Linked DNA regions of Rhinolophus ferrumequinum. The protein of the gene in region 1 purifies or fractionates together with the protein of each later gene. This does not show direct contact. Links are inferred from orthologs where the notes say so. Each region holds a gene or a part of one and is shown on either strand. Other genes may lie near its edges.

Region 1 (7,210 bases):
TTCTCGTTCGCTCACTGCCTGTGTTGCGCTGGGCGCAACAGATGCCCACCAATGAAAGACCTACAGGAACGCACTTGTGGTTGAACAAGTTGGGTTTATTACTTGTTACAGCGAGGGGTGGGAGATGTGAACCACAAGGAATGATGAGGCGTCTCAGAAACAGAGTGTTAGAAAGGACATTTAGAATTTAATTTGGGGGAGGGTCAAGGAAGCAGCAGGGTTTTGATCTGGATTGGATACTGTCTATGATTTGGGTATCTTGATAAATCCTATCGAGAAGGCAGGAAAACTAGACTGAGACTAAAGCTGTAATTGGTAAAGAAGCAGCAATCTCTATATGAGCCAGGATAGGGAAATGTTTGGTCATTTTTGTGGTTTGGATAATGCTCATGTTTTATCTGGTTCAGGTATGATTATGGAGAGGTCTTGTTATTGTCTTGATCCATCACAGTCACAGAGTGGCCTTGTCTGATGTTGATGTTCTGTGACATTTTTATGTTCAACTGAACACCAAAGCCTACCTGTGAATGCCAGGCCAGCTCCGGGATATCAGGGGCTCCTTTTCTTTTTATGAGAAGATGGACTCAAATCCAGGTTTGTGTGACTGGAAACGTATCTTGTGTTACTACTCCCTGTCCCCAGGAACAGGGAAGAGGGCTGGCAGATGAGGAATTTCATCTATAAGTTTATTTCATCTACTGCCTTCACCCCCTACTTAGACCCAAGCCCAAATACAATCCCTGGGATCACTGTAGACACTTAATGTTTGTTGAATTAATGAAACAATGAAGATGGGTGTCAAGAACTCTAGAAAACAACTTCCTGGGTGCAAATTGCAGCTCCATCACCTTTTAATTAAATGATATGTGATTTGAAAACTTTTAATAAAATGATAAAATTGTGTAACCTTTTAAAAGTTTTCTTTTACCCATTTGTGAAATGGAGACAACCACCAAAACCATTCATAGGGCTGCTGCGAGGATTAAATGAAAATGAACCATTGTGTAGAGTGTGCTTAGTTAAGCTCAGTAAATGTTAACTATTATTATTTTCAAGATAAGTAATCCATTAGTGCTGTGATTGCATGTTTAATATTTTTCCCACTAGGCATGAAAGCAAAGAGCTTGTCTCTTATCACATAACCAGTACCTAGCACATAAATGAATATTTGATAAATAAATAAGTAAACAGGCTAGGACCCAGGCACTTTCCCTATTTAGAGGGTAAATATTAATTTTTATATCTTTTCAAATTTAAAGAAAAGTTGCAAAAATTATGTAAGGAACTCCCATATACCCTTTACCTAGACTCACCACTTGTTTACATTTTTCCTAATTTGCTTAATCATTCGTGTAATAAATAAATATATATATATTCCTAATTTGCTTAATCATTTCTATAATATATATATATATTTCTGAATCATTTGAAATTAAGTTGGAGACATTGTGCCCTTTTACCCCTAAGTACTCCAGTGAATATTTCCTAAGAACAAGAGGAATATTTCCTCTTAACCACAATACAATGATCAATTTTAGAAAATTTAACATTGATACAATATGCTAATCCACAATCCATATTCAAATTTCATCACTTGTCCCAATATTGTCCATTATACCTATTCTACCTTCCCTCCCCCCCAGTCCAAGATCCAACCATATTTTGTTATGTCTCTTTAATTGCATTTAAACAGGAAGAGTTCCTCAGTCTTCAAATGTCTTTCGTGATATTGACACTTATTTTGTAGTGTCCCTCGATTTCAGTTTATTTCATGCTTCCTCATGAGATTTGGATTATGCATTTTGAATATAAATGTCACAGAAGAGATGCCTCCTTCTCAATGCATCTTATTGAGGGGCACGTGATCTCTACTTGACCTGTAGCTGGTGACATTAACTTTGATTACTTTGAGTCACTTGTTCTGTGAGGTTATACCTTTGTAAAAATACTATTTTCCCTTTGTAATCAATAAGTGATTTATGGGAGACAATTTTACTGTGTAAACATCCTGTTCCTCTAGTTTTACCACTCATTATTGATTTTCTAACTCCATCATGTTTGTTAGTTGGCTTCTACTAAAAGGAAGACTTTTCTCTTCTCCCTCATTTATTTATCTACATTATTTATATTAGTAAAGACTCATGGGTTAGCATTTTATTCAGTTAGTTATACTCTGTTACTATCATTATGTATTTCGATGCTCAAAAATGCTCCAATTTGGCCAGTGGGATATCCTTTAAGTAAGCTCCTCTGTCCTTTCACATATTCCCATTATTCGGATGCCCATCATCCTTACATTCTGGTGCAACAAGATGTTCCAAGCTTGTCTGGCACTTTCCCTGTCCTGACCAAGGATCTTTAAAACGCTGCCAAACAGCTCCTAAGTTCCTCCCTTTCCTATCCGCAAGCGGAACCTTAGAGTCTCGTGCGTGGGCCGGAGAACAGCTCAGCGGACCAACCTTTTCCGGTTGCGGCCGGAAGTCTCGGAGAGGGGCGATTCTGTGTCAGGTGACTGGAGTTCGCGTAGGAGTGATCCGAGGTCCAGGCCGATCCACTGACTGGGCGGACAGACCGGCGGAGCAGCCGACTGACGGAGAAGCTGGGGCAGCCTCGGCGGCGGCGTTAGCTGAGCAGCGGCAGGTACCTGAGGGGCTGGTGGGGGGAGCAGCTAGGGGCATCCGAGGTTGAGGGACACGGGCGGGGGACCGGGTCCCGCCTTCACCGGGCCACGGGCTGCGACACCTGAGTCCAGGGGCGCAGAGACAACAAGCCTGGCTCCGCCTCAGGCCCTCCTCCCCAGAAGAGAGGTCGGGCTGGCATGTGGTCTTTCGTCCAGTGATTACAGTTGGGGGAAACTGAGGCCCCGAGAAAGGAAAAGGCTCCTTACGAGCTCTCCTTTCCAGGCAGGGACTCACTATAACTCTCTTTCTGTCCCCCGCTCGAGGCCATTTCTCTCCTGTGGATGTGTTTTTAATAAGTTTGCCCCGAGTGGAGAAGCCGAGGCCGGTAAGCGTGGTGAACAGAGTTGGGCTTTGGGCATAAGAGACCCGGGTTAGAGACTTCGCCGCCAACAGCCGATTGTGCGTTCTGGGCCAAATCCCTTTCTTCTGCTGGGCCTTAGTTTCCTCGTCTGTAAAACAGGGCAGTGCTTCTCAAAATACCGTTCTCACACCATCTGCTTTGGAATGCTATAGGGGTGCATGCTTTCCCATGGGGGACTCAAATAAGACCTGTGATTTAGAATCTGGGTGGGAACTTGGGAAACTGCGTTTGGAACGTATGGCTCGGGTGTCCTGTACATGCTGATGTTTGAAGCCCACTGATCTTAAGTGTTTTCCTGCTGTAACTACGAGATATCCATTCTTTGCTTTGAGGCAGCTGGAGCCGGTTCAGGATCTTTGAAAGAACTGGGTGTTTATCCCAGGAAAGAGAGCAATGGAAGGGAACTGTCTTTAAAAACTGAAAAAGTTGTTATGGTGAAGAGGGCTTCCACTTCATCTTTGGGGTTGAAAAGGGCAGAACTAGGACCAATAGATGGTTTCTACAGGAAGACAAGATTTTGATTTAATAGAACTTAATGCTGGTCAGAGGTGCCCAGCAATGGATGGGTTGCCTCCAAAGGTAGTGAGCTTCCTGCTATAGGAGGTATACAGGTATTAGATGGTGGTCCTTTCCCATTTGACAGCTTCTAATTCTGAGTAATTATTTTGAATCTTTCTGGAGCTGACTTCTTTTTTCTGCCCTTTTTTCTTGACACCTCCATTCCCTCAGCCTACATCTTGTAGAAGTAAGGCGGTGGGTCTGAATGTAATGTATCTTGTAATCTCTTCCTGATTGTCCTGTGAACCATCCTTTTCAAGGACTTTGGAATGGTCCATCTGATAAAGACGCCTTAAGATCATTGCTGAATGAATAACCAAGCAGAGTCCCCACACCATCTGTTTATAGCTTATTTTCTTAGAACAACTTGGAAATGCCTCTGAAGGAAGACTTTGTATTTGATCAGGAGAAGCCAGTGAACTCTTTGGATCACAGAATTGGATCACAGTCAGAAGGGTCCCTTGAGGTTGTTTAGGCCAGCTTTTCTTCCCTGGGACATAAGTCTCCCTTTAATCCTCTCTCCAGAAGTGTGTTGTATAGATATTGTGTCTACCAAGGGGATTTTTGCAATCTATGGTCTAACGTTCCATCCAGCGTTTAAAACCGGTCCTTTTATGGACTTGACATGTCAGTTCATCCTCATTTATGGGTTATCTGCAGGTAATGCTTCTATATATCTTATATCTTTAGTTTTCTAATCAAACATCAAAACTCCTATTTTGTGATTTATAAAACTCCAAGCAGATTGCTACTTCAAAACCTGTTAGGATGCTTACGTTGTCCTATGGAGCAAAGATTCCATATTATGACCCAATTCTGCTGACATGCTTCCTACCCCCCAAAAGGTTGGGTTTCAGCCAAGACTTTCTGTCAATGTTTATATTCCTGCCTTGTTTGTGTTTCCTACGATTTTAAAAAAATAAATTGCGAAATTCTTATTCAGGTATCATCCAGGTGCTAGGTAAAATGATTTTAATTTGATGGTGTTTTTAAAACTTCTCAATCTGAACATTTCTTTTTAAGAAAATACCTAAACAGGTATATACATAGTGCATTTTTCAGGCCGCTAATCTGAAGAGACCCCTCCAAAAAAAAGTGTTCTATGGTAATAATAAGTTTGTAAAAACTATAGATCATTATCCCTTTTTGGAACTTCTCAGTGTATAGTACCACATTAAGGTCCCTGAGATATCTGCAATAAAGAAATGTGCCTAACCTTGTTTAATCTAGTGTTGCCAAACTGAATTGATGTGAAGCACTTTTTTTTTTTTTTTAACTGAAGCACACATTGGCAAATTCTGACCTAGAGCAGGAGTCCACAAAATTTGGCCTGTGGTCCAAATCTGGCCTCACTTCCTGTTTTTGCATGGCCTGTGAGCTGGGACTGTTTTTTACAGTTTTTAATGGTGGGGAATACATCAAGAGAAGAATAATATTTTGTGATATATGGAAATTATAGGAAAATCCAATTCCTGTAATTCCATAAATAAGGTTTTATTGGAATACAAATTCCAGTGTCCGAAAGTAAGATCCTTTCTCGTTAATTTACATGTTGTCTTTGGCAGCAGAGTTGAGCCATTGCCCCAAAGATCATGTATAGTCCACATGTCTAAAGTTTTTACTATATGGTGCTTTACAGAAAAATTTGCCAGCCGCTGACCTGCATCACATATGTTTTTAAACTTGTTATTTTGAAATAATTTTAGACTTGCAAAACGAATATACAGACTTCCTATATACTCTTCACCCAACTTACCCTAATGTTAACATTTTACACAACCATATTAAAATTACCTAAACAAGAAATTTAACATTAATACTATACTAACTAGACTATATTCACATTTTGCCACTTGTCCCACTAATGTCCCTTTTCTGTTCCAGGATCCAGTCCAGTTTCCCATATTGCATTTTGTTGTCAAGTCTCCTTAGTCGCTTTCCAGCTGAGATTGTTCCTTGGTCTTTTTTATTTTTCATGACTGTAAACTTTTTTTTTTTTTAAAGATTTTATTGGGAAGGGGAATAGGACTTCATTGGGGAACAGTGTGTATTTCCAGGACAGTGTGTATTTCCAGGACTTTTCTCCAGTCAAGTTGTCCTTTCAATCTTAGTTGTGGAGGGCGCAGCTCAGCTTCGAGTTGTTGTCCTTTCAGTCTTAGTTGTGGAGGGCGCAGCTCAGCTCCAGGTCCATTTGCCGTTGCTAGTTGCAGGGGGCGCAGCCCACCATCCCTTGCGGGAGTCAAACCGGCAACCTTGTGGTTGAGAGCCAGTGCTCCAACCAACTGAGCCATCCGGGAGGCAGCTCAGCTCAAGGTGCCGTGTTCAATCTTAGTTGCAGGGGGTGCTGCCCACCATCCCTTGTAGGACTCGAGGAGTTGAACTGGCAGCCTTGTGGTTGAGAGCCCACTGGGGCATGTGGGAATCGAACCGGCAGCCTACGGAGTTAGGAGCATGGAGCTCTAACTGCCTGAGCCACCCGGCCGACCCCCATTACTGTAAACTTTTGAAGAGGACTGGGCAATTATTTTGTAGAATGTCTCAAATTTTTTTTAGATGGAATTTACATATCATGAAATTCACTATTTTAAAGCGTACAATTCAGTGGTTTTTAGTATGTTCACAAGGTTGTGCAACCATCACCACTATCTTAATTCCAGAACACTTTCATCACCTCAAAAAGAAACCCTGTGCACATCAGCAGCCACTTCCTATGCTCCCCTCTTCCCATCCACTAATCCAGAATCATACACTGTATGGCTTTTTGTGTCTGGCTTCTTTCATTAAACATGTTTTCAAGGTTCATCCATGTTTTAGCATACTCGTATAGCAGTACTTCATTCCTTTTTAGGGCTAAATAATATTCCATTAGTATGGATAGACCATTCGTTTATCCATTCATCATTTGATGGCTGTTTGGAGATTCTGAATAGTGCTGCTCTGATCCCATACAAAGTTTTTGTTTGAACATATTTTCAGTTCTCTTGGATGTATATACCTAGGAGTAGAATTGCTGGGTCATATGGCAACTCTATGTTTACCTTTTTGAGGACCTTCCAAACTGTTTTCGACAGCAGCTACACCAATTTACAGCAATATATAAGGGTTCCATTTTTTCCGCGTCCTATTCAACAGTTATTGTCCTTTTAAAAAATTATTATTACATCCACCCTAGTGGATGTGAAGCAGTATCTCGTAGTTTTTATTTGCATTTTCCTAATGACTGATGATGTTGAACATCTTTTCATAAACATATTGGCCATCTATATACCTTCTTTGGAGAAATGTCTATTCAAAACCTTTGCCCATTTTGTAATTGAATTATTTGTCATCATGTACAATTTTTCCATGTAGCTGTTTAAAGAGTTTGCAGATCCCCTGATCTGAATGGAGTTGGGTAGAACATGCTGAAGCAGAGTAAGTTGTCCCTTTGAAACTGCTGACCGTACAGAGCTTTGCTTAACCCCAACCACTGCTGACCGTGCAGAGCTGGGGTGGCCATGGTCAAGTGAAAAAGGTACTACAGCATCATTCAAGATGTGGTAAGACCAATATAGGATCCTGCTGTTTGGGAGCTACTCTGGTGCTTGGTCAGAGCAGGGAGAAGAGTCGG
Region 2 (7,210 bases), on another chromosome or scaffold:
TTCCTAAAAATAAATTTCTTTATGTCTCATTTGTATAAGAACAATTTTTTAAAAGGGTTTTATAAATATAATTCTTTCCTAGAATGTTATTGTTCCACACATTTAAAAAAAGAACATTTGTATTTAGTCACACCGGCTCCAGCATTTAATTTTTTTTGTAAATGCAAAATTAGTTTACACTGAAATCTTTTTTCTAATTTCATTTCCATTTCTTGTATGATAGTTTACTACAATATATGTATATATACACACACACACTATATGTTGTATTTGTTACATGTGCAATTAAATTCTAAAACCTATTTAATGTTCATCGTTTGTATCTCTCTCATATATAAATCGTTCCGTTAGTATGAATCGACATACTAAGCTCCAGGAAGGAGCTTGGCTCTGAACAGATCTAAAAAGCCTCTAATTTCTAAGGCTCTGATGATGCCATTAATAACATCATTGTAGACTGTTTGAGCTTTTGGTGAGGTCACATAATTAAAACGCTTTCTTTCATGGAGGAATAAATGAAGTCTACAGCAGTTAAGTAATTTTTGCTAAGTCATGTAACTAATTGGTGCCAGAGCCAAACCTAAGTCTCCAGGTTTCCGGCCCCACGTTCACTACACCATACTGCTTCCTAAGAAATCAGCTCAGTTTAACAACTTTCACAAATAGAATGGTCAGGAATATAAGTGGGTTAACAACCCCTACTTCAAGAAGCTTGGAGACTCTCTGAAAAAGACACACAAAACTTAGAGAACAATACAAGACAACATTATTAAGAGAAATAAGACCACGGGACAAAATTTACAATACAGACTTTAAGAGCTATAGATTAGAAGGAGAGGGATTTGCGATGAGCCTTTAGAAGGCTGGCAATTCACAGACAAGAGAGAAGGAAGGAAGGGAGAAATGGGGAGAGAAGAGGTGACAGTATGAACCAAGGCAAGAGTGAATAAAATAAATATAAGAAAACAATACGGAAATCGGTCTGACTAAAGGAAGAACACATTTCATTTCAACAGACACAATTCTTGCCCTAAGCCATCTAAAAGGGAATTGGAAGGAAACCTGGAGAATTTAAGTATTCATAATGAAACTCTAACTTAGTGGGAAGCCTCGACTTAAATTACAAGATAAATACATTAAAATTTGCCTGAGTCTCGAAAAATCAGCAGATAGTAGACAAATTTCTGAATTCAAAGATTTATAATCACACTGAGTGTGCAAGAGTAGTCACAATAAAATCCTGTTTTGTCATCTTATGTCAAGATATATTTAATAAGTATCTCCCATGGCCAAGACACTGTTCTCAATGATCAGACGCTATTTCCAATATTCTGGAATGCTATCAAAATAGAACATTCACTAAGGTTCCACATAATATTGTGCTGAATGTCCCAGACAAAAATGTGAGGCAGAAAAGCTGTGTATTAAAATTCAGATCCACCATGTTAACAGTAGCCCAAGAGCTTGCCTCTATGGAAACCAAACACTGTTCTACACCAAGTGATCACTGATTTGTATTTCTAAGTGTGTTCTAAAGTCCTGATTTTATTTTCACTGCATCAACAGAAAACACCACTATATAGACGGGAGAAATCAGTTCTAGTCAGTTTTTCCAAGCTGCATAGGTATTACTGCTTATATACTTCAAAAAGAGTGAGGTGGCTCAAAATCATAACCTGTGCTGTGACAACTGTACTTTGAACTTTAATTTCTGCATTTAAGTAAATACCACCATCTGCTTAAGCAATAAGGAAATGTATCTCCACCCACAAATGTTGTAACTGTTCCTGTCACACCTGTCTATCCAGTGTGGAGGCTTTCCTAAGAATCACTCACCTGCACAGATCTGAACGTAGTAATGAAAGGCAACATGATATGATAGCCTGGTCCACTGGGGTTAGTTAGTAAAGCTCCTCCCCTGCAAAAAGATGTTTCAATTTGACAAGATTATAGAGAAATGCTCTTTCCAAATCTAAAATGCTGTAATAAATATTCACTCTTACTCATGCTGCTGACCTATTAAAGCTTCACTAATATGAATTACTCACAATGAACAACTGCTGGTCCCTAAAATATCTGCCACAGCTAACAAGGTGAAAGGATCACATTAAGCTGCCGATGTTACAGCTTGTTTCATAAGCTCGACCAACCATACCTCTGGGTCTCCAGCACTGCACTCAGGTAGGAAGGATTCTCCTTGGTCTTTAACCATCTGAGAAGTACTTGTGAAAAAAAATTCTAAGGCTCTTAGTTGCTATACTTTAATTGCACATAACACGAGTTCAAAACATAATACATTTAATCACTATGTTGAAAAAAAAATGACACAAACTTTCAAGGGAGGAGAGAACTTCGAAGGCTCAAGAATCTTTTAATCTACCTACAAGGCAATTAAAATACTGGGGATATAAAGTCTATATAATAAACAACAAAAAATTAGCATAGAAAGATAAAGGGTAAGGGAATACAACTATAAATAGATAGGATGTAAGCGTGGACTTATTTACCAAATGCTGGAATGTGATAACTATGAAAGCACATCTTGGAAATTATAAAAGGGAGGCATTTTGGAGGCAGATATAAAAAAAGTCCTATTTTACATTGTGAAGAATAACTTCATAGAACTTAAGTTTGTATCTTGAAAACAGACACAGGTTTGCAAAAAATCCGTTAACTAATAACTTGAAAAGGATGACCTGTTTTAGGTCCATCCCTAAATTCTTTGAGAGCCATGCATTTTCCTTGGTTTTACTGCCAAGACAAGACGGAAATATGGACTAATCTGTCATTTTTTATGCTAGACCTCCATCTGCTAAGACATATCACTACACTTGTATTTGAAACTAGCGTTTCACAGAGAAGACTGTTTCTAGGACTCAGAATGGATCGAAAAGTAGAAAATACCACTTTGGGAGGATGATGGAAACCAGAAGTGGAAGCCCTTTCAAATACAGCATTAGCACAATTTCTGCAGACTGTCCTCTGTCTATATCAAAAAGAATTGGTGGTACTATGTTGAAGGAAAAGCTATTCGAGCTCAACTAGAGAGCAACACACTCCACACCATTTCTTTCCTCAACCTGAAAAGAAAGGGTAAGGTGGCAGGCGGGTGGTCCATCAATGCTGTGTTTCTCTCTCCAGGTCCAGGGAAGACATACGAGTAAAAACAATTGTCATGGTCATCATTATTTGGCCTTATAAGCCAAAACCAGACACTACGGGCTTTTAAAAGAAAAAAAAAAATCTAAAGAACCATCACAAACGCGACCCAAGCCAAGTTCTAAATTGAATCTAAAGCTGCAAACTGAAAGCCTGCACAGTTGTACGGAATACGACAATTTATCCATTTCATCAGTTACAGGTGGAGTGACCTCTGCCTGCCTGCCTGTCTTTTTTCTACAAATGATTGCACTTACTGTCTACCAGGAATAACTGGAGGGACTCTTAACCTTGGCACCAAATGGACATAGTACTAAAGCTGTCCACCACCCGGAGGGGGCTCTGCAAAAGCCTTCCTTTCCCCCCCATACTCTCCCTAGGGCTGGGACGAAAATCACTTTCTAGGACTGGAGAAGGCTCTCCGGACGCTACAGAGGAAACAACTTCTTAGATGCTCCTCTCCCGGGAGTCCCCTTTCTACCTGCCGGAGAAGCTGAGCGGGCTGCACACGCTGCTCACCTGTAGTACACAGCCAGGTGTCCTTCCTCGATCTTGTGGATGGAGGCGTAGAGGAGGACAACCACCAGACCCACCACTGCAGCCACCAGAACCCGGGCTTGAGTCATATTCATGCTTGTTCCTCCTGAATGAAGGAGGAAAGGACCCCAAGGCCCGTGAGCGACAAGCCTACCCCCTCGTTTCCACCCTCTACATCCGGACAACTGGCTCCCTCCCGCAGGCCGAGCCGGGAGTCCTGTGCCTCTTTTCCCTCATTCTTTCCTCCTCGCAGAACCCGTTCTCTCCTCGCCAACCTCTCCGCCGGAGGCGGCCCGCAGGCCGCCCCTGCTCAGTAATCGTCGTGACACCCCCAGCTCCCAGTGGCCGCTCCCCCGCCCCCCCGCAGAATGCACTAACTGAGAAGGGGGCCAGGGGCAGAGTTCGAAGGCAATCCGACCCCTCCGCGGCGCCTCACCGATCAGTGACGCATCGCCCCCGCCCGCACGTGCAGCCGCCTCCCCGGCCACGCCAACCGCCGCCAACAGCCGGCCCCGCCCACTCGCCCAGCCCTGCGGCTGCGCAGGCACGCACGCCGACGCAGTGCTCGCCCTGCCACCAGAGACGGGGAGCGGACGGGACAAAATTCTCCCGGCTGCCCTCCGCGCAATTTCCCTTGAAGGTACGGAGGCTCTGTTTTGTGCACTGCTGGTTTCCTGCTCCAGAAGAGAAGTCGGGAATCTGGAATAAGGGATGCAGAGAAAGCAGAGGGCCTCTTGTTCTTTTGCAGAGACCCGCCCCTACACTCAGTGTGGTAGCTGTTCCGTTTTATGACCTTTTGTGGTTTATACCGAACTCTATGTGGCAAGCATGTGCTTCAGGGACAGATCCTGCACTGAATTCAGGAGCAACCAGACTTACTGCCAAGTAAGGTGGAAGTTCAGAAGAGGAAGATACTCAATCTAACCGCATATTCACTCATCAAGTATTTTTCTGAGCACTTATTATGCCAGAGTGATGATCCAAAGAGGGCTTTATGAAGGCCATCCAAGCAATAGGAACAGCGTCCTCCAGGAAAACACTACAACAGTGAGCATTTGAGCTTCCTTGAAGCCAGTATGATGGAAAGTAGGATGGTAGGCTAGGCTAGGCTCAGATTTTGAAAGACTCAAATGCACTTTTTTCTTCAGGGAGCGGGTACTGGATGGCTACAGAATTTTTCACTGCATATTCTTCTTTTCTTTTACAATATCCATTATGTGCATGTTACCCAAAACAAAAAGGACAAAGTTAAAGAGTAGAGATGGGAGTGAGATGGATAAATACAAGGGAAATAAGTGCAGCATATTAGAGTAGGTTGGGCAAGAATGGTTCCTGTAAGCCTTGGAAGGCTAGCAGTGGGAGCACAACTGGACAAGTAGGCTAAGATTTAAGGACTCTGTAACGTCTTGGGCAGGGAAGTATGGGAAAGCAGTGCTTTAGGGCCAGTGAGTCTGCAAAATGGCTTAGAGGAGAGACACAGACTGGAGGCAGGGAAGCAAAGTGGTTAGACAATTGCGGGCCCAAAGTTACAATGGCAGTAACTGGAAACAGGAAGGGGTAAATAGAATCAATTCTTCATGAAAGCAAGCCCTCCCAGACCACTTTACCCTCTCCCCTCAATAAGTGCATTTACCTGTATCATTCATTTGACTCTTACTACCTAGGAATGTCCAGGACCTTGTTGGTTCCAGATAGGTGGTATCTGCAGAGCTTAGCTTTTTTAACTAACGAAAAGCAAAAAGAATGAAAAATAACTTGTTCCAGTCTCTGTTTTCTCTTTGCAGAACTGTTTCACGCACTCTCTTGATTTCTAGTCTGAGAGGGGCAAGGAACCCCTCCCTGTGCCAGTAACAGTATCAGATGACTAAAAAGTTAGAAGACAACCCAAGGTTTCAAACTTAGATGACTGGGAAAATGACACTACTAGAAAAAATAGGGATGGTGTGTCTAAATTTATAGGGCAAGATATGAGCATGGTTTTTAGACATGAATAGTGGTGACAGGACATCTCAGGTGAAAGCACTATATTAAAGCAGCTACCCAATATGGTCTTTACTATACATCCTGTATAATTCCATACAGGAAAATACAGTAAGAGCCTATTACGTTATCCTCTGCTCCAGTTCCAATTCATGGAAACTTGAAATTTTCCCAAATCATATTCAACTACAGTTGACCCTTGAACAACACACGTTTGAACTGTGTGGATCCACTTACATGCACTTTTGTTTTCAATAAATACAGTTAACCCTTCTTATTTGTGGGTTTCGTGTCTGCAAATTCCATGGATCAAAAATGGTATTTTCGCATTCCCAACCTCGGTTGGATGAATCCACAGATGCGAGGCGCCAACTGTAAAGTCACAAGTTCCATGTGGATTTTCTGCTGCGTGAGACTTGATGCCCCTAACCCCACTCATTGTTCAAGGGTCACCTGTATTCATCTGATTTTAATGAATAGAGTCAAAAAGTAATTTAAAAATCATTTAATACACAAAGTGAAAAACTATAATACAAAAGCATTTCACATTTTTTTAAAAAAACAGTATCTTCTAAATTACTTAACAGATGATAGATCCACAATCCTTAATCTGAAATTGTTAGGGCCAAATGTTTCAGAATTAGAAATTTTCAGATTTTAGAAACATAATTCAGTGCATATGCCATATTACATAAACCTCCAGCAGGGTCTGTGGCAGCACCCTTCCCCCCGCCGAATAATCAAACATGTTAATATTTCCACAGCAAAATAAATGAATATTCACACTAAATGGGATAAGTATGTTCAGTGTTACTTCATGTTAATTTGCGAGTTTTGTCATCACGCTTCTGAAAAACCTTGTTTTCAAAGCTTTCTGGAATCACAGATAAGGGCATGCAGACCTTTATAAATTTGTACAAGACATGAAAGATTCCTGAAACAAATGACCCATTTTTACAAATGAAAAAAAATAAGCTTTCAAATACATTATAAATTAACAGGCATCTCTTTGATATTACTAAATGTACATCTTAAATACATATACACATAGAACACTTAAGATTTATCAGTCAATTGGTATTGAAGGCACAGATACACAATCCCTCCTATAGGAAAGGAATACTGTCAAATGTGCAGTAAAATGGAAAATGGGATTGACCCAACTCCTTATGATGCCAGGAAGAGCACTGCTGAGTGCAACACAAGGAGGTAGGGGTATTCTTCAAGAAGTGCAATTTGACTTGTGAGCAGTCTCTTCCACAGAAACACAGGTAGACAACTTTTACTTAGAACATATATTGAGGTTTCTTCTCTGTATATACAGAGGGTGCCAAAAAAAGTGTATGTACATTTTAGGAAAGGAAAAAACTATTAAAATTGTAATACTCAACATACACCGTTAACAAAAAATGAATACAAGTCACCTTTGACTTCTGCAATTACAAGAGGTGCTCAAAGTAGTTACCATCAGTGTCCAGACACTTTTGATTATGGCGAACTACTGATTGAGCAATGGTGACCAAAGTGTCCACTT

What was found. The genes of interacting proteins can lie anywhere in the genome.
Region 2: the proteins of RNF185 (region 1) and ERLIN1 purify together in Homo sapiens (affinity purification with mass spectrometry; 3 studies listed by BioGRID and IntAct, with this or other methods). This does not show direct contact. The link is inferred for Rhinolophus ferrumequinum from reciprocal best matches to the Homo sapiens genes RNF185 and ERLIN1.

What each region holds. Positions count from the first base shown.
Region 1 is NC_046308.1:20,179,752-20,186,961, forward strand, and holds the start of RNF185 (E3 ubiquitin-protein ligase RNF185), read left to right. Parts: upstream 1-2,480; 5' UTR 2,481-2,640; intron 2,641-7,210. UniProt on the Homo sapiens protein: E3 ubiquitin-protein ligase that regulates selective mitochondrial autophagy by mediating 'Lys-63'-linked polyubiquitination of BNIP1.
Region 2 is NC_046299.1:24,345,208-24,352,417, reverse strand, and holds the start of ERLIN1 (erlin-1), read right to left. Parts: upstream 4,894-7,210; 5' UTR 4,075-4,893; intron 3,803-4,074; 5' UTR 3,792-3,802; coding exon 3,679-3,791; intron 1,919-3,678; coding exon 1,837-1,918; intron 1-1,836. UniProt on the Homo sapiens protein: Component of the ERLIN1/ERLIN2 complex which mediates the endoplasmic reticulum-associated degradation (ERAD) of inositol 1,4,5-trisphosphate receptors (IP3Rs).